Macaca mulatta: one gene and its partners. The protein of the gene in region 3 interacts with the protein of the main gene of each other region in a pairwise test. Links are inferred from orthologs where the notes say so. Each region holds a gene or a part of one and is shown on either strand. Other genes may lie near its edges.

Evidence for each region. The genes of interacting proteins can lie anywhere in the genome.
Region 1: the proteins of GET3 (region 3) and ASPH interact in binary tests that used the Homo sapiens proteins (3 or more experiments, as listed by UniProt). The two-hybrid records come from large-scale screens. The link is inferred for Macaca mulatta from reciprocal best matches to the Homo sapiens genes GET3 and ASPH.
Region 2: the proteins of GET3 (region 3) and GET4 interact in binary tests that used the Homo sapiens proteins (3 or more experiments, as listed by UniProt). The link is inferred for Macaca mulatta from reciprocal best matches to the Homo sapiens genes GET3 and GET4.

Annotation. Positions count from the first base shown.
Region 1 is NC_133413.1:72,126,953-72,132,767, forward strand, and holds part of ASPH (aspartyl/asparaginyl beta-hydroxylase), read right to left. Parts: intron 3,980-5,815; coding exon 3,888-3,979; intron 3,522-3,887; coding exon 3,388-3,521; intron 1-3,387.
Region 2 is NC_133408.1:34,830,580-34,836,394, reverse strand, and holds part of GET4 (Golgi to ER traffic protein 4 homolog), read right to left. Parts: intron 3,556-5,815; coding exon 3,417-3,555; intron 2,313-3,416; coding exon 2,172-2,312; intron 2,166-2,171; exon of another isoform or gene 1,174-2,165; intron 1,140-1,173; exon of another isoform or gene 13-1,139; intron 1-12. UniProt on the Homo sapiens protein: As part of a cytosolic protein quality control complex, the BAG6/BAT3 complex, maintains misfolded and hydrophobic patches-containing proteins in a soluble state and participates in their proper delivery to the endoplasmic reticulum or alternatively can promote their sorting to the proteasome where they undergo degradation.
Region 3 is NC_133424.1:13,292,237-13,298,593, forward strand, and holds the start of GET3 (ATPase GET3), read left to right. Parts: upstream 1-2,222; 5' UTR 2,223-2,231; coding exon 2,232-2,392; intron 2,393-3,224; coding exon 3,225-3,372; intron 3,373-6,357.

The DNA of each region.
Region 1 (5,815 bases), on a different chromosome or scaffold from region 3:
AAGCCTCCTGGCACCATCCACCTGCTCCTGTTCTTGATTGCCACATCCATTCTTCCAATCTTGGATTTCTCTTTCTGCCTCAGGCCACTGAAGACTAAGCTCAGTTCCATCTCTCTTCCTCTCCCTGCCTATGCCTAAGTAGATTTATCATTATTATTATTTTTTTAAGACAGGGACTTGCTCTTTCACCCAGGCTGGAGTGCTATGGTGTAATTACAGCTCGCTGCACCCTTGAACTCCTGGGCTCAAGCAATTAACCTGCCTCTGCTTCCTGAGTAGCTGGGAGTACAGGTGCATGTCATCATGCTAGCATATTTTTTTTAAAAGTTGTTTTTGTGACTGGGCGTGGTGGCTCATGCCTGTAATCCCAGAACTTTGGGAGGCCCAGGCAGGCAGATCCCGAGGTCAGGAGATCAAGACCATCCTGGCTAACACGGTGAAACCCCGTCTCTACTAAAAATACAAACAAATTAGCCGGGCATGGTGGTGGGCACCTGTAGTCCCAGCTACTCGGGAGGCTGAGGCAGGAGAATAGGGTGAACCTGGGAGGCAGAGCTTGCAGTGAGCCGAGATCACCCCATTGTACTCCAGCTTGGGCGACAGAGCGAGACTCCGTCTCAAAAAAAAAAAAAAAAAATTGTTTCTGTGGAAATGGGGTCTTACTGTGTTGCTCAGGCTGGTCTTGAACTCCTGGCCTCAAGCAATCCTCCTGCTTTGGCTTCCCAAAGTTCTGGGATTATAGGCATGAACCACCTTGCCTGGCCCTAAGTGGATTTTTCTCTAGTGATTTTGTTCCAAGTATCTACAAGCAGAATACAGAAGAGAATGAGGAAGGCAAGAATGCAGGAACATGGGGAGGCAGGGAGGCAGGGAGGGAGAGAAGGAGGGAGGCAGGCAGGCAGAAAGGAAAGAAGGGAGGGAGGAGGAAGAAAAGGAGGGAGGGAGAGAGAAAACATAGGAGGTAGGAGGTGAGGGAGAGAGCGAGTGAGCTGGTGAAAGAAGAAATAAACCCTAAAAGCCTAAGGAGCACTGAGGCGTGTGGCTGGGTGCTCTTCTCCATCTCCACTGCCTCATGCTCTCATGTGATCTCCAAGGAGTTACCTTGTCAATCTGTGCCTGCTCCAGCATTCTCCCACCTCTTCTCTAAATTCCTGGCATCCCCCAATGTGTCCCTGCTCTTTTTCACTTTGGCAGAGAGACCGTGAAGACCCAAACCAGGTTCCCAACGTAAGACAAGATTCATTTCATGCCTGAAAAAACTTCTACCTGTCCAGTGATCCCTGATTCCTCCTCCTGGTCTACCTGATTCTGCCTTTCTTGCCCCATTTCCTTCTTGGTTCTCCTTCCTCCTTCTGTCTTTTAAATATAGATGTTTTCATGGAACCTTTTCATTTCTGTCATCGTTTGATTGTCTCAAGCGTCCTCTAGAAGTTCTTGCTAAGCGTGACTCTCAAATCTTTATCTCTAGACTTACATTCTCCCCTGAGTGCCAGGTCTCTATTTCCAGCCACCTCCTGGATGGTTCTACAAGTGTGTTCCAATAGTAACTAAATAAAATATGCACAAGCACTGAATTCCTCTTCCTTTCCTTGAACTTGCCTCATGTCTCCCAAATTCCCAAGATTTGCTCAAGCATCGCCACCCTACACTGTCCAAAGACTGCAATTGCAGCAGCATCTTGGATGCCTCATTCCTGTACCACACATTCAAGAGTCACCTGATATCTCTTGCATCTGCTCTCTAGTCTCCATTTCTTTCCAGCATCCCAATTCCAGCTCTGCTTATCTTTTGGGTGGGCCACTGTGATAGCCTGCTAATTGTTCTTCCCACTGTCCCCACAGGATTCACCCATGGGTTCCACAGTAACTTCCTAATAAAGGTCTGATCCCATTAGTTTGGGATTCAAAGCCTCCTATGATTTAGTTTCTAAAAAAGACTCTTTCACTTTGCAACCTTATTCTTTATGTAGCATACACTGCTGGCTGCTGATGTATTATTCAATATTCTTCATATGTGGCCATACTTTTTGGCCTCTGTGCCTTTAATGGATACTGTTTCGGAATATCCCTCTTTAGCTTTCAATGTTCGAATCCTTCTTGTCTTCAAAAACTGCCACTCTGCAAGTTGAGTCCCTGCAAGCAGGTGAGGCTCCTGCTCATGGAGCCATCTGTAGTATTTTTAGCTTTTCTGTAGAGAGGCCATTGTAGTACCACTTTTACGACCCCTATGGCCTTCAATCTTGCGTTATCTTCCTGAGCAACACACCCAGCAGAGGACGGCCCCTTCTCAGTCATCTCTGAATTTCCCATAGCACCATGGGCTGCCCAGGGCACTTATCTGCCAATAACCAAATAAACAATTCTGCAGACCCCTGAGCACTCATCCTCCACTCAGACCTCTATTAAGGACAATAAGAAATGTGTGTAAGATGACAATAACGTGGTTTCTGATCTCCAGGAGCTTACATACAGCTTGCTATAGAGATAAGGGTAATGTTATATTAATGAATAAAGAGCATTAGAAGATAGGGAATGGGATTACTGAGGATATATACTCTGAGAGGTTGTATTTTTATAAAACTAATTTTGGATAGGTGAAAAGATGGGCATTCTAGGGACGGAGATTATCAGCACCACAGGTACAGAAGCCAGAGCAAGTATGGTTTGTTCAAAAGATCATGAATAAACCTGTCATGATTAGGAAAGCAAGAGGCAAGGGAGGGAGAGGAGATCTAACATTCATCACGTCCCTACTGATACCAGAACATGGACTGAGCACCTTGTAGACATTATTCCAGTTAATCCATACAACAACCCTGCAAAGTAGATGTTATCACTGCCAATTTTATAAGCAAGAAGGCTGATGTTTGAAGGGATTAAGTAACTAGCCAAGGTTACACAGGTTAGGTGGCAGAGCTGGGATTTGAAAAAGGCAGCCAGCTTCCATTGTACCATACCATCTCCTCTAGATCAAAATGTATAAATATCATGGGGTGAGTTCTTCAGTTAGGGGGACTTCTTGTATTCATGAATAAGTCAGGATGCAATGCAGGAAACACAATGCATAACATCTGCAGGGCTCAATGCATGCTGGCTGACTCTGAATGCACATCTGTCTACCCACAGAGAGAAACAAGGCAGCTCCTCAACTAGATAAGTACTCTGCTGAGAAATAATGGAAGAGGGCAGCCCTAGAGCTGGGCAATGTCTCCAGGCTAACAGAAAGCACCAAGAAGGGGTATAGACTCAAGAGTTTGGATTAATATCACTTTGCTCCAGTCTGCTTCAGCTACAAAAGAAGACAAGTAATCCAAGGGAACACAGCTCTGTTGTAACAAACTCTCATCCTCAGAGGTGATGGATATGATGGATAACAGAGGACACATACTTGGTCTCATTGGCACATCGAATCTTGCAGCCTTCCTTGGGAATCACCAAGCCCAGGTGCATTCGGAGCCTGCAGTTTGTGGGCCCTGTGTGCGGCCACACGTGAGTCCCAGGGTGCATGATGGAATATTTGATCTGCATAGAACACATGACACTCCATTCAGCCATTTATCAAGGTGTGGAGGAACTGCTAAGTTAAGGTGACAGTAAAAAATTACTGTCAGTTTGGATTAGCGCCTTTGTAAGATTTAATATTTATATTCAAGTCTTATTTGTGAAGGAACTAAAAATAAGCACTCACATTTTCCACAAAGCGATAAACACTGAACATTTTCCACCCTCAATTCTGACGTCAACCACATAAAATTATGTTTCAGTAAAAAGGGCACGTAAAAAGAGGCATTCACTGGGCCAAAGGAAACAACCATTTCTTTGTAAAGGTCAACATGCCCTTATTCCTAACAATTAATTGTGTTCTCCCCAGCACGACACTCTTGGTACCTGTCCTCTTCTGCATCCTGTTGTCTCGGGGAACTTTTCTAGTAAGGTACAGGTTTTAGGAGCTCCTTTGCAGGCATTTTCATTTCTTCTTCCTAGAATAAATAACATAACTGTTGGAAACAAATCACAGTAAAGCTTAAACGTATCCCATTTAGATGAAGTGAGAGCTATATGTCATCTTCACTGCAGGCATGAGAAGATTGAGTAAACATGAGAAGATAAAGTAGGAATGCAAAAGGCTTATTGGAAAATAATAAAAATTAATCAATAAAGAAGACATGTCTTGCTCCAATAGGTAGTGACTGGCAGAGCAGGGAGCCAAATTCTCCACTCGGTGTTGGACTATTTGACTAAGAACGTCTAACGGACAAGTCGCAGGTTAAAGGCAGTTGACCTTGAGCAACACAGGGGTTAGGGGCTTCGATCCTCCATGCAGCCGAAAATCTGTGTATAACTTTTGACTCCCTAAAAACTTAACAACTAATAGCCTACTGTTGACTGGAAGCCTTACCCTATATCATAAATAGCTGATTAACATATTTTGTATGTTATATGTCTTATATACTCTAGTCTTACAATAAAGTAAGCTGAAAAAAAGAAAATGGTATTAAGAAAATAATAAGGAAGAGAAAATACTTTTACAGTACTGTACTGTATTTTATCGATACCATAAGTTTACATCATCTGTTTACAAGATGAATTGAATGTCTGAAATGGCCTGCAACTACAGGTACAGACCTTAATCTACAGTACATATCAAGTAATTCAACTTTTTCTTGTAGGGTCATGACTTTTCTCTGCTTCTTGGCAGCATTTCCAGCATCACTAGTTGCTGTTTGTATAGGTCTCATGGTGTTATTCGAGGTTTGCAGCATTACATTAAACACAAGGAAAAATACACAAGAACCATAAGAGACCACTTTTTACCATGATACGCAATTTACTGGAGATAGGAACTGCTCAGATGGAGACAACAGTATCACATGTTATTTTAAGCAGATACTCAAAACACTTGAGCTTGCTGAATAGCAACAGGAGGCAGCTATGAAATTGTTACAGTAGTATAATCTGTACTACAGTTAATTTAATGGAATTATGATTTAACACTGCATCTTTATGTTTGTTTACATTTCTCTTGACTGTGAATGGTGCTATGTATGGTCTCTAAGTGCTTCCATGCATATGTTGATAAATTTTATTTCTTTATAATAGATTTGTGTGTATATATATATATAGTAAATGATAAAATAGATTAGTACCTATATATATTTCATGCATTCATGACACACCTAATTTTTCTTAATTTTTAAAAATATTTCCAGGCTACAAGGTTCATCTGCAAGTTTTTTTCAAATTGTCACAAATCTCAACAAATTTTCCAATATATTGACAAAAATTCGTACATAGTGGACCCATGCAGTTCAAACTCATGTTGTTCAAAGGCCAAATGTACTTATTTTTTCCCCTGTGACAGGCAAAATAACAGTCACCTCCCAAAAGATGTCCATACCCTCACCCCATAACCTGTGAATATGTTACCTTTCATGCAAGGGGGAATTAAGGCTGTAAGTGGCACTGAGATTTCTTATCAGCTCACCTTAAAATAAGATTATCTAAGTTTACCTGGATGGGCCCAAGGTAATCACAGCATCCTTAAATGTGGGAGGAGGAGGCAGATGAGTAAATGTCAGAGTGATACAGCATGAGAAAGACTTGACTGGCCACTGCTGGCTCTGAAGATGGAAGGGGGTCACAAGCCGGGGAATGTGGGCAGCCTCTAGAAGCGAGACTCCAGAGGGAATACAGCCTTGGTGACACTTGTATTTTAGCCCAGTGTGATCCATCATAGACTTCTGACCTCTAGAACTATAAGATAACAAATGTGTCTGTGTTTTAAGCTATTAAGTTTTGTGGTAATTTGTTACAGC
Region 2 (5,815 bases), on a different chromosome or scaffold from region 3:
ACACTGAGCCTACACCCAACACTTACCTGTACACACCACCGCACCTAGGCCCAACACCCGCACACACTACTGTGCCTAAACCCAACACCTGCACACGTCACACCTACACCACTCACCTGTGCACACCACTCACCTGCACACACCTACACCCATCTGCACACACCACTGCACCTATGCCCAACACACCTGCACACACCACCGCGCCTACACACGTCACCTGCACACACCACCACGCCTATATACACCACTGCACCTACACCCAACATACACCTGCATACACACCTACACCCAACACTCACTTGCACACACCACTCACCTGCATACACTGCGCCTATGCCACTCACCTGCGCACACTACCGAGCCTACACCCAGCACTCACCCGCACACACCACTCACCTGCCCACACCACTGCGCCTACACACACCTGCCCACACCACTCACCTTAACACCCCCGTACCTATACCCAACACACACTTGCACACCGTGCCTCCACTGCACACCCGCACACACCACTGCACTTACGCCCAGTTTACCCACACACACCGTGCCTATACCCCACTCACCTGCACACACCATTAAAACATACACCACCACGCCTACACCCAGCACTGACCTGTGCACACCACCGCACCTAGGCCCAACACACCTGCACACACCACCGTGCCTACACACAACTCACCTGCGCATCACTCACCTGCACACGTCACACCTACACCACTCACCTGCGCACACCACTCACCTGCACACACACCTACACTCAACACTCACCTGCACACACCACCGTGGCTACACACAACCTGCACATACCACGCCTACACCAAACATGCACCTGCACCCAACACTCATTTGTGCACACTTACCTACACACCCCACCGCACCTACGCCCACCACTCACCTGCACACCCCACCGCACCTACGCCCACCACTCACCTGCACACCACCACGCCTACACTGCACACCTGCACACACCACCGTGCCTACACCCAACTCACCTGCGTACACAACTGCACACACCACCATGCCTGCACCAAACACCTGTAAACACCACTCACCTGCACAAACCACCGCACCTACTCCCAACACTCACCTGCACACACCACCGCGCCTGCACTGAACACATACCTGCACTCACCACTCACCTGCACTGAACACATACTTGCACTCACCACTCACCTGCACTGAACACATACCTGCACTCACCACTCACCTGCACACACCACCGCGCCTGCACCGAACACACACCTGCACACACCACTGTGCCTACACCCAGCACTCACCTGCACACACGCCTACACATCCAACACATCTGCACACACTGTGCCTACACCCAGCACTCACCTGCACACACGCCTACACACCCAACACATCTGCACACACCGTGCCTACACCCAGCACTCACCTGCACACACGCCTACACACCCAACACATCTGCACACACCGTGCCTACACCCAGCACTCACCTGTGCATACCGCCACACCCACACCTAACACCTACAAACACCCAGATGGCTACCCATGCCATGTCTACACTCAATACCTGCACACGTACAGCAACCCATATTGCCACGTCTATACCCAATACACCTGCACGCCCCCACGCAGCTACCCACACGTCTACAGACAACACACCTACACACCACACACCCACCCTCACCATGTCTACACCCAACACACATACTTGCACGTACCCCAACACAACTACCCACACCAGACACCCCATACCTACACACACTCCCCCCTCTACACCTACAACACACCTGCACACATCTACACACACCCACACCACCACATGGACACCCAGCACCTGCACACACACCCCCCACAGCTACCCACACCATATCGACACCCAACTCACCTGCACACAACCCCCCACACCATCACGTCTACACTCACCCACCCCTGTACCCACAAGTCTACACCCAACACTCACCTGCACACACCCACACTACAGCACATACACCCACACAGCTACCCACACTACCATGTCTACACCCAACAGCCCTGCACACACACCCATACCACGTCTACACCCAACACTCATACCCTATACATATACCCACACAGCTACCCCCACCATGGCTACACTTGCACGCACACCCACACAGCTACCCATGCCACGTCGACACACAACACACATATTCACACCCCACCCCCAAGACACCAAGACGCACCCGTCCACAGCCAGCAGCAGGAACCAGATGAAGTTGAGCAGCGGCTCCACAAATGGAGGCCCGTCCTCGATGGACGGGTGCTTCTGGGTGTATGTCGTGAAGACCACCGACGCGCTACTTTTGTTTTTTAAACAGAGAAACCTGGAAATGAGAACATGCTGGTGGTGGAAGGGCTGGAGAACATGGCTTCTGGCCGCACAGGCGCCAGCCTCTGACACATCCTTCCCAAGCTCGTGCGCCCATGGGTCCCGCGGCCCCCGGCACGGAGGAACCCAGTGCTTCACACGTGTCTCCCCTCACGTGCAGGGCATACTGGGGAAGCCTGAAATTCACAGGTGAAGAGAACGAAGCTTGGGAAGGTCACCAGGCTCTGGAGCTGGGCCCCAGCCTGAGACTCAACTATGCGATGCACTGAGCAAGCTCTCCTCTCCTCAGGCTGCCCGCACCAGAACACTCAGTCACGGCACAGCAGCTGGCGGGTGCCACACAGACCCTGGCTCCTGTTCGAGGAGGGCCCACGGGGAGAGCTCAGTGTCCCAGGGGCAGAGCCACTGTCAGCCCAGAGAAAACGTGTACGCAGTGCGGTGCAGAGCCAGGGAGCTCCAGGTTTGACCCAGCTTTTCATCTAAGTCACGGACGCCAGCTCCTGGCAGAGCTCTGCAGTGCGCACCACCGAGGTCAGAGGGTGTCTGTCCCCAGATCCCACGTTAACTCCCCAACGCCCGCCTTGAAATCCACATTGTTCTGTGGGAAGAAACTGATGGACACAAATAACGCTTTCATGAGAAAGGAAGCGGAGGCCAGCGCCTGGAGCAGGAGCGCCTGGAGCTCGGCCTGCAGGATGCCCCAGAGAGCTGGCGGGAGGGGCCGCGGGGTAGATGCTCACCATTCTATGACCTGGGTGTGCATTTCCGCTTTTCCAGATACTGCGGGAAGGCAGAGGCTGAGGCAGGCCTGAGGAGAGCAGAGGCCGCGGGGCCTCCCGGCAGCGGGCAAGAGGCGCAGTGTGGAGGGCGCTCCAGTGCCCGTCGGGAAAGGGGGAGTTTCTAAGATACTTCTTGAAACTGGTTAAACTTATGAATAATCACGGGTGACTCTGGCTGACAAGTGCGCTGTGGATTCTGCCCAGAGTGAACTCAGTTTATCCTGCAGCATGGCTCGGGCAGGGGACAAGGGGACCTGCTCTAAGGCCGCCCGGCCAAGGCAGCGATGGAAGCCAAGACCCAAAGAGCCACAAACACCTACTGTAGCACGGCCTGGGCCACGAACATGTCCACCTCGCTGCGGAAGCCACGGGACGTAGAGTATTCCACCAGCATGTTGGCACAGCCCTCCCCATCCGCCGAGTGCAGAAAATGATACCGCGACTCACAATAGTTTTGTTCTGCAAAGGAAACACAGAAAAATTTGAATGCATTTCATGAATATAATATAGAACAGGAAAAGTGGAAAGATACTCTATGTTAATTGTAGTCCACCTGCCTGCCCTGGAGAAGAGCCCAGCCAGAGCCCACAGGCAGAGGTACCCGATAGGGACTCAGAGCCGGCCCAAACCTCACACACAGCACCAAATAAACAGATCACCAGGGAACAGTCACTCAGCCATGCAACACCTTCATCCTCCAAGCTCTCAGAGCTGCTTAATCCAATCACATTAACGTGCGTTGTAATGATCAGTTACAGAGTGTTAACATGGGACCCTCCCCACCTACCAGAAGCAACTTATAGGGAGCAATGTAATCAGGGCCTAGGCCAGTGCATCTAGCATGTAATCAACAGTCAAAACCAGCCTGATGTACTCACCACACTGACCCAACGATCAACCCTTGATATCTCAAAGGCACACTCCGCTCCCAGGCCCCGTCCTAACACCCGCTCACACTCACTCCGCTCCCAGGCCCCGTCCTAACACCCGCTCACACTCACTCCGCTCCCAGGCCCCGTCCTAACACCCGCTCACACTCACTCCGCTCCCAGGCCCCGTCCTAACACCCGCTCACACTCACTCCGCTCCCAGGCCCCGTCCTAACACCCGCTCACACTCACTCCGCTCCCAGGCCCCGTCCTAACACCCGCTCACACTCACTCCGCTCCCAGGCCCCGTCCTAACACCCGCTCACACTCACTCCGCTCCCAGGCCCCGTGCATGCCTTGGGAGCACAGCCCTTCCCGTGGTGCAGATCTCAGCACTCACCAGGCGCCTGCCTCTCCCACCTAGTGGGCCCTTTCCCAACTGCGTTGCCCAACAGGAGCCTCCAGGGCCCTCCTGCTGCCTCTGTGGCTGCCAGAGTCCTTGTCACCTTGCTTTGTCTCCTGTTGTCTCCCTACATTCCCAAACCTTTACCTATGGGTGTGATTTCATCCCCAGGAGAGAAGCACCAGGGAAGCACATAGCCCAAGTATCGTGGAGCCCCAGCCTCAGGTCCTGTATGGGGCCTGTGCTTAGGACAGCAGAGGCCGTGCGTGGCCACCTTGGCATGGAGCAGGCCTGGGCTCCCCGGGTGAGGTCCATCGAAGTCTCACAGCACTGTCATGCTGTCGGGGACCTGGGCCCGCGCCTACCCCAGTGGGAGGCAGCCAGGGTCCCTCTTCAGAGAATCTCTGCAGATGCAACGAGCACAGCCCTCCCACGCGCTCCCTGGACTGCCTCGACCTAACCCCATGGTGGGTGGGGAGATAGACACGTACGTCCCTCATGATCGCTTGTGCCTGTCTTAGGAACTGCCATGCAGGTCTCCTGGGCACTGGGCATCACCTGTCCCACGCCACCCACTGCCTGGCTCTCCCCACAGGGCCTATGCGCAGGTGTGGCAAGGGCGGCCACCCAGTGTTGACGTAGGTGTTCCTGACTCATCCAAAAGACGGGCGACAGCTCCCAGGCAGGGTGTGGGGGCAGCTCCTGACTCCCCAACCTGGCAGTGGGACCCACACAGGCGGCAGCTCGCTATGCAGGGCAGAGGAGGGTCATCTGCGGCCGTGTTCTGTGTGGAGGCGTGCTGGCTCAGGGACAGGTGGAGTACAGGAGGCCTGCTGTAGCCAGAGGCCAGGGAAGGTGGCAGCAGGTATGCTCCAGGGACCAAGGAGGCACCAGCCTGGGCCAGCCCCTTCTGAGGAAGGAGGCGACCACGGGGAAACTGAGGTGAGAGGTGGGCACTGGCTCATCTCCCTGTGGGTGCCCTGCCACTCGGCACACATCCAGGGCCAGGTTCTGCCAGGCTCCTCTGAGAAGAGCCTCCTAATTCTACTCGGATCTGCAACCTTCCCATTCCTGTCGCTTGGGGAGAAGGTCAGGAGGGCCTGCCAGGTGCCTGAGGGTGCTGAACCTCCTGTCACAGCCCAGGCGGAACCTGCATGACCAGGGACAAGGTCGGACGGGCGTGCATTTCGGGGCTGCTGACGTGTGCAGAGCACATGGGCCCTCGTGCAGCTGCCACCGCGCCGGGTGGAGCACAGCTGTGTCTAGGAGGAGCTGTTCAAGCTCAGAGCCCTGGTCTCTGGAGCAAAGGCCTTCAGCCGAGATCCAAGTTCCTAGAGCTTCCAATGCGGGGCTGCCCCTCACCCGCCAAGCCCAGGCACATGCAGACCCGAGCAGGCCTCCCGACAGCAGGAAGGAAACCATCTCACGGTACTGGGGCCACCTGCCA
Region 3 (6,357 bases):
CGGGATAAGTCTTGCTGTTTTTTTTGTTTTGGTTTTTTGCTTTGTTTTGTTTTATTTTGGAGACAGAGTCACACTCCGTTTCCGAGGCTGTAGTGCAAAGGCCTGATCACGGCTCACTTCAGCCTCGACCTCTCACGGCTGAGGTGAGCCTCCCACCAAAGCCTCCCGAGTAGCTGGGAAAACAGGCATGCGCCACTATGCCTGGTTTATTTATTTATTTACTTACTTATTTATTTTTGTGGAGACAGGGTTTTGTCATGTTGCCCAAGCTGTTCTCAAACTCCTAGGCTCCAGCAATCCTCTCACCTCAGCCTCCCAAAGTGCTGGGATTCCAGACATGAGCCACCGAGCCCTGCCTCTCGGGTGCTCAAAATTCAGCGGTACTCGGGCTGGTGTTTCCCAGACTGGGGCTCCCGGGGAATGAGACTGTCGTCTGAGACTGGGGCTGTAGCTTGCTCTCTGGAGTTGGTTTCACTTGGGGCTGGGAACAGATTCGTTTTCCAGGGCTAGAATCCCCGTCTGACACCAATAATAATCTCTGTGAGGGGAAGGACCTCATTTGGGGTTGTGTACTCAGCTGACACCTGGGAACTTGAGTCCCTAACTAGGGAATAGAGAGCATGTGTAGCCTGGGCCCCCCAAGTAAAAATAGGGGTATCTTTGGGTTGGGTACTCATCTCTGGATAAAGCTCACATTTTTGGGGGACATAGGGGCTCTGTGGAGCTGAGGTCCCCGTCTGAGAATCAGCTTTTTTTTTTTTAATTTTGTTATTGTTATTATTATTTTATTTTATTTTTTGAGACTGAGTCTCGCTCTGTCGCCCAGGCTGGAGTGCAGTGGTGTCATCTCAGCTCACTGCAGCTTCCGCCTCCCGAGTTCAAGCAATTCTTCTGCCTCGGCCTGGTCTTGAATTCCTGACCTCGTGATCTGCCTGCCTCGGCCTCCCAAAGTGCTGGGATTACAGGCGTGAGCCAACGCGCCCGGCCTATTTTATTTATTTATTTATTTATTTTTAATTAATTAAATATTTTTTTTGAGACAGAATTTCACTCTTTCACCGAGGCTGGAGTGAAGTGGCGCAATCTCGGCTCGCTGCAACCTCTGCCCTCCGGATTCAAGCGATTCTCCTGCCTCAGCCTCCTGAGTAGCTGGGATTACAGGTGCGTGCCACCACGCCCGGCTAATTTTTGTATTTTCAGTAGAGACGGGATTTCACCATCTTAGCCAGGCTGGTCCTGAACTCTTGACCTCAGGTGATCCACCCGCCTCGGCCTCCCAAAGTGGTAGGATTACAGGCGTGAGCCACCGCGCCCGGCCAGAGAATCAGATTAGTTTATGAGCTGTAGTATTCAGATGAAGTTGGGGTTATTTCTAGGCTCTAATCTCCCTCTAAAGTTAAGAGTGTCATGGGCTGGGGTCTCCATCAAGGGCCTGGAACCCAGCTTGTGTTCCTGCTCCAGGACAGAGGTTCAAACATGAAATATGGTATACTGGAGTCTTCTCTTGAAATACAAGGCGGCTTTTAGGAATTAGGGTCCCTTCTACCAAACGGAGCGCAATTACAGGCATGGTGCCTGCTAGGCATGGGAGATCAGGGCGTCCAGGACAAAACTCTGGACTCGCCCACTCTAACCCACTGTCAGCCCGGGGACCTATAGCCAGCCAACTGAGTCAATTTGTCTATGATTGGTTTGCGGCAAGAGCCAAGTGGCTCACAGCCTATTGAATAATAGAGGAGGCGGACCTGAGGCGAGGTTGGGACCTAACGTGAATAATAGAGGGAAAATGATGGACATAAAGTTGAGCCTATGGAGGCCAAGGCGGACCGGGAATCTAACTTCACCGAAAGGGCATGGACTGGGTGTTTGGCTGGTTGCTAAGGAGAGGTTGGCGCTACCGGAGCATGAGAGTGATTGGTGGACGTAAGAAAAGATGTAGCCAATGAAAGGAGAGCTGCGAGACTTAGGGCCCAATCAGTGAAGGGGAGTAGCCTGGACCGTACCGATGTGTTCATTAGGTAGGGGGAGCCCTTGGAAAATTATAGACCAGAGGTTGACAAGGTGAACCCTGGAAGCAAAGAATAGTGAAAATGTAATTTATATTTCTCCTAAAATGGAAGTAATGAGGAAATTAACTTATGCTTCTAGCCTCGATAGGAATGTGATAGAGAATTTCCCCTGTAGGTGCTTCGTATGGTGCGCTCCGCTGGATCACGTGAGCCAGTTCCAAGATGGCGGCAGGGGTGGCCGGGTGGGGGGTTGAGGCAGAGGAGTTCGAAGATGCGCCTGATGTGGAGCCGCTGGAGCCTACGCTTAGCAATATCATCGAGCAGCGCAGCCTGAAGTGGATCTTCGTCGGGGGCAAGGGTGGAGTGGGCAAGACCACCTGCAGGTAAGGAGGCTGCGGCGGGGGCCAGGAGGCGTGTAGGATATACTACTGGGCGAAGGGGAGGCCAAGGACCGGCTTTTCCACCACGACCCGGGCAAGGGGGCTGGCGGGGGTCTTTGGGTTTCACTCTCTGGAAGTTACCTGGAGCACATGAGAAAGACCTCTTCAATGCAGCCCTAGCACCCTCTGAATTGGACCATCCATGTTGGGGCTCAAGTGCAGCGCCCGGGGGACGGGGAAGCACTTAGATGTCCCCATCAGCTGGACCGTACCTGAGTGAATCCAGAGTTGTGGGTAGGGGCGGCACCAGAACAAGCAATCCTAGTTTGGTAAACCTTGGTGTTTTATGTCCAAGGCGAGAGTGAGGGTGGAAAGCGAGGGAGAGGGCACATGATCAGACTGTCCCAGGCAGCTACAGGCAGGAGGTGTCCATGCGGCAGATTATCCTGGACAAGTGGACCGAACCATCCTGTGCTTACCAGGGAGTGCAAGGGATCCCTTAGCTTATTAAAGAAGGGAGCACGGAGTCAAGCTATGCTGGCTGGACAGCTGGGCCATGCCACTGTGTGCCCAGCAAAGAAGCAGCAGGCACTAGGCCAGACATACTCAGTCATTTGAACCTTATCTCTCTAGTCCACATAGAAGGGTCAGTAGATAAATCAGAGAGGGTTCCTTTGTAGGGATTGAGGCTCAATCCCACCGTAACCCATACTCTCCTCTCAAGGCCCCTGCTGATCCGGGTCACCTGCTCCAGGGAAACTACCACTACCCTTGCAGACCCAGGGAACAGAGCCCAACCCCTCATCCCCTGTCTTTTTACTTTTCCTTTACCCAGCTGCAGTCTGGCAGTCCAGCTCTCCAAGGGGCGTGAGAGTGTGCTGATCATCTCCACAGACCCAGCTCACAACATCTCAGATGCTTTTGACCAGAAGTTCTCAAAGGTGCCTACTAAGGTCAAAGGCTATGACAACCTCTTTGCTATGGTGAGTGGAGCAGGGCTTAGCCCCCACTTCTGGGAAAGGCCTCTTCCAGCCTTTCCTGTGTGCACACACCAGCAGCCACCATGTCCTATCCACTCTTTATCCTGTGTCTCTCCTGTTTCACCCCTTCCTCAACATACTCACAAGAGAACCAATGAGGAATTGCAGAGCGGGAAGCACACCAGAGTGCCTAAAGCTTATTGAGCCAGGGTAGGGGAAGAAGAAGTTGGAGAGACCAATCAGAGCCACAAAGTGTGGTACCTTATGGGCCACGGTAAGAAGTTTGGCATTGACTCCAGGTTCAATGGAAAGCTGTTTGTTTTAAGCAGGGCAGTGTCGTGGCCAAATTCATGTTTGAAAAGTACCCTCTGATGGCCAGGTGGAGATTTAATTGTCAGTCAGTGTAGAAGCATGGAAACTAACAAGGAGATTGGGGATGTAACCAGTTGAGAGATGACAACATCCTGGACTCTGGTGGAGGCAGAATGCTGGGGGAGACATAGTCAGATTTGAGATTTTTTTCTTTTTTTTTAAACACTCAGGAATCCTGTGTCTCCCAGGCTGGAGTGCAGTGACCCGATCTAGGCTCACTGCAACCTCCACTTCCCAGGTTCAAGCAATTCTCATGCCTCAACCTATTGAGTAGCTGGCATTACAGGCATGCCCCACCACTGCCTGTTAATTTTGTATTTTTAGTAGAGACAGATTTTCACCATGTTGGCCAGGCTGGGCTTGAAGTCCTGACCTCAAATGATCTGACCGCCTCGGCCTCCCACAGTGCTGAGATTACAGGCATGAGCCACCACATCGCACTAGGGATGTATTTTGGAAGTAAGCCAGTGAGATTACTTGGTTGTAATGGGTGAGAGAAAGAAATGAATTGATTACATGTCTTTCTTGTCTCTCTAAGCAGCTAGGATGGGGAAAACTAGGAAAGGAGTAGGTGTAGAATGGACAAATCAAGAATTTCATTTTCTCCGCAGTGAATCTGAGGTGCCCACTGGAAATCCAAGTGGAAACATCATGACAATAGCTTGTTTATGTGAGTCTGGAGCCCAGAGGAGGTTGGCATTCATTTGGAAGTCACTGTCCCAAGGTTGGCATTTAAAGCTGTGTGAGGGCTGGGCATCGTGGCTCACGCCTGTAATCCTAGCACTTTGAGAAGCCAAGGTGGGCGGATCACTTGAGGTTAGGAGTTCGAGACCAGCCTGGCCAATATGGTGAAACCCTGTCTCTACTAAAAATATAAAACAGGGCCGGGCGCGGTGGCTCAAGCCTGTAATCCCAGCACTTTGGGAGGCCGAGACGGGTGGATCACGAGGTCAGGAGATCGAGACCATCCTGGCGAACACCGTGAAACCCCGTCTCTACTAAAAAATACAAAAAACTAGCCGGGCGAGGTGGTGGGCGCCTGTAGTCCCAGCTACTCGGGAGGCTGAGGCAGGAGAATGGCGTAAACCTGGGAGGCGGAGCTTGCAGTGAGCTGAGATCCGGCCACTGCACTCCAGCCCGGGCTACAGGGCGAGACTCTGTCTCAAAAAAATAAAAAAATAAAACAGTTAGCTGGGCACGATGGCAGGTGCCTGTAATACCAACTACTCATGAGGCTAAGGCAGGAAAATCACTTGAACCCAGGAGACAGAGATTCTCCTGCGTCAGCCTCCAGAGTAACTGGGATTATAGGTGCCTACCACCATGCCCGGCTAATTTTTGTATTTCTGTATTTTTAGTAGAGACGAGGTTTTACCACGTCTCAAAAAAAAAAAAAAATGCTGGGCACGGTGGCTCACTCCTGTCATCCCAGCACTTTGGGAGTCCCAGGCGGGTGGATCACAAGGTCAGGATATCCAGACCATCCTGGCTAACACGGTGAAACCCCATCTTTACTAAAAATACAAAAAAAAATTGCCTGGGCATGGTGGCAGGCATCTATAGTCCCAGCTGCTCCGGAGGCTGAGTCAGGAGAATGACATGAACCTGGGAGGCGGAGCTTGCAGAGAGCCGAAATCGCGCCACTGTACTCCAGCCTGGGTGACAGAGGGAGAATCTGTCTCAAAAAACAAAATAAAGGCCGGACGCGGTGGCTCATGCCTGTAATCCCAGCACTTTGGGAGGCCGAGACAGGTGAATCACGAGGTCAGGAGATTGAGACCATCTTGGCTAACGCAGTGAAACCCCATCTCTAGTGAAAATACAAAAAAATAGCCGGGTGCGGTGGCGGGCACCTGTAGTCCCAGCTATTCAGGAGGCTGAGGCAGGAGAATGGCGTGAACCTGGGAGGCAGAGCTTGCAGTGAGCCGAGATCGCACCACTGCACTCCAGCCTGGGCAGCAGAGCAAGACTCAGTCTCACAAAAAAAGAAAAAAAAGTACAAAAATTAGCCAGGTGTTAGCCGGGCACAGTGGCAGGCGCCTGTAATCCCAGCTACTTGGGAGGCTGAGGCAGAAGAATCGCTTGAACTCGGAGGGGCAGAGGTTGCAATGAGCCGAGATCGTGCCACTGCATTCCAGCCTGGGCGACAGTGAGATTCCATCTCAAAAATAAATAAATAAATAAACTAGCCAGGCATGGTGGCAGGCACCTGTAGTCCCAGCTACTCGGGAGGCTGAGGCAGGAGAATGGCGTGAACCCGGGACATAGAGCTTGCAGTGAGCTGAGATGGCACCACTGCATTACAGCCTGAACGACAGAGCAAGACTCCATTTCAAAAAAAATAAAGAAATAAAAAATAAAATAAAGAGATGCTGCAGAGTGAGGATGCTGGCAGAGGACAGTCCTCAGGTGGGATGAGCTCCATCCAGTATACAGACCCAGGACTTGGGTGCTGCCAGGGTCAAGGACTGGGAGGGAAACAGGAGGAATTGGGGCACTTCCTCAGCAGAGATGAGGGTGTTGGCAGCCAATGGCTTCTCTTTCTCACCAAGGAACGGGCAAGGGCCTCAGCAGTGAATGGGATAGAAGTTTGAGGAGGGAGAAAATGCCACATAA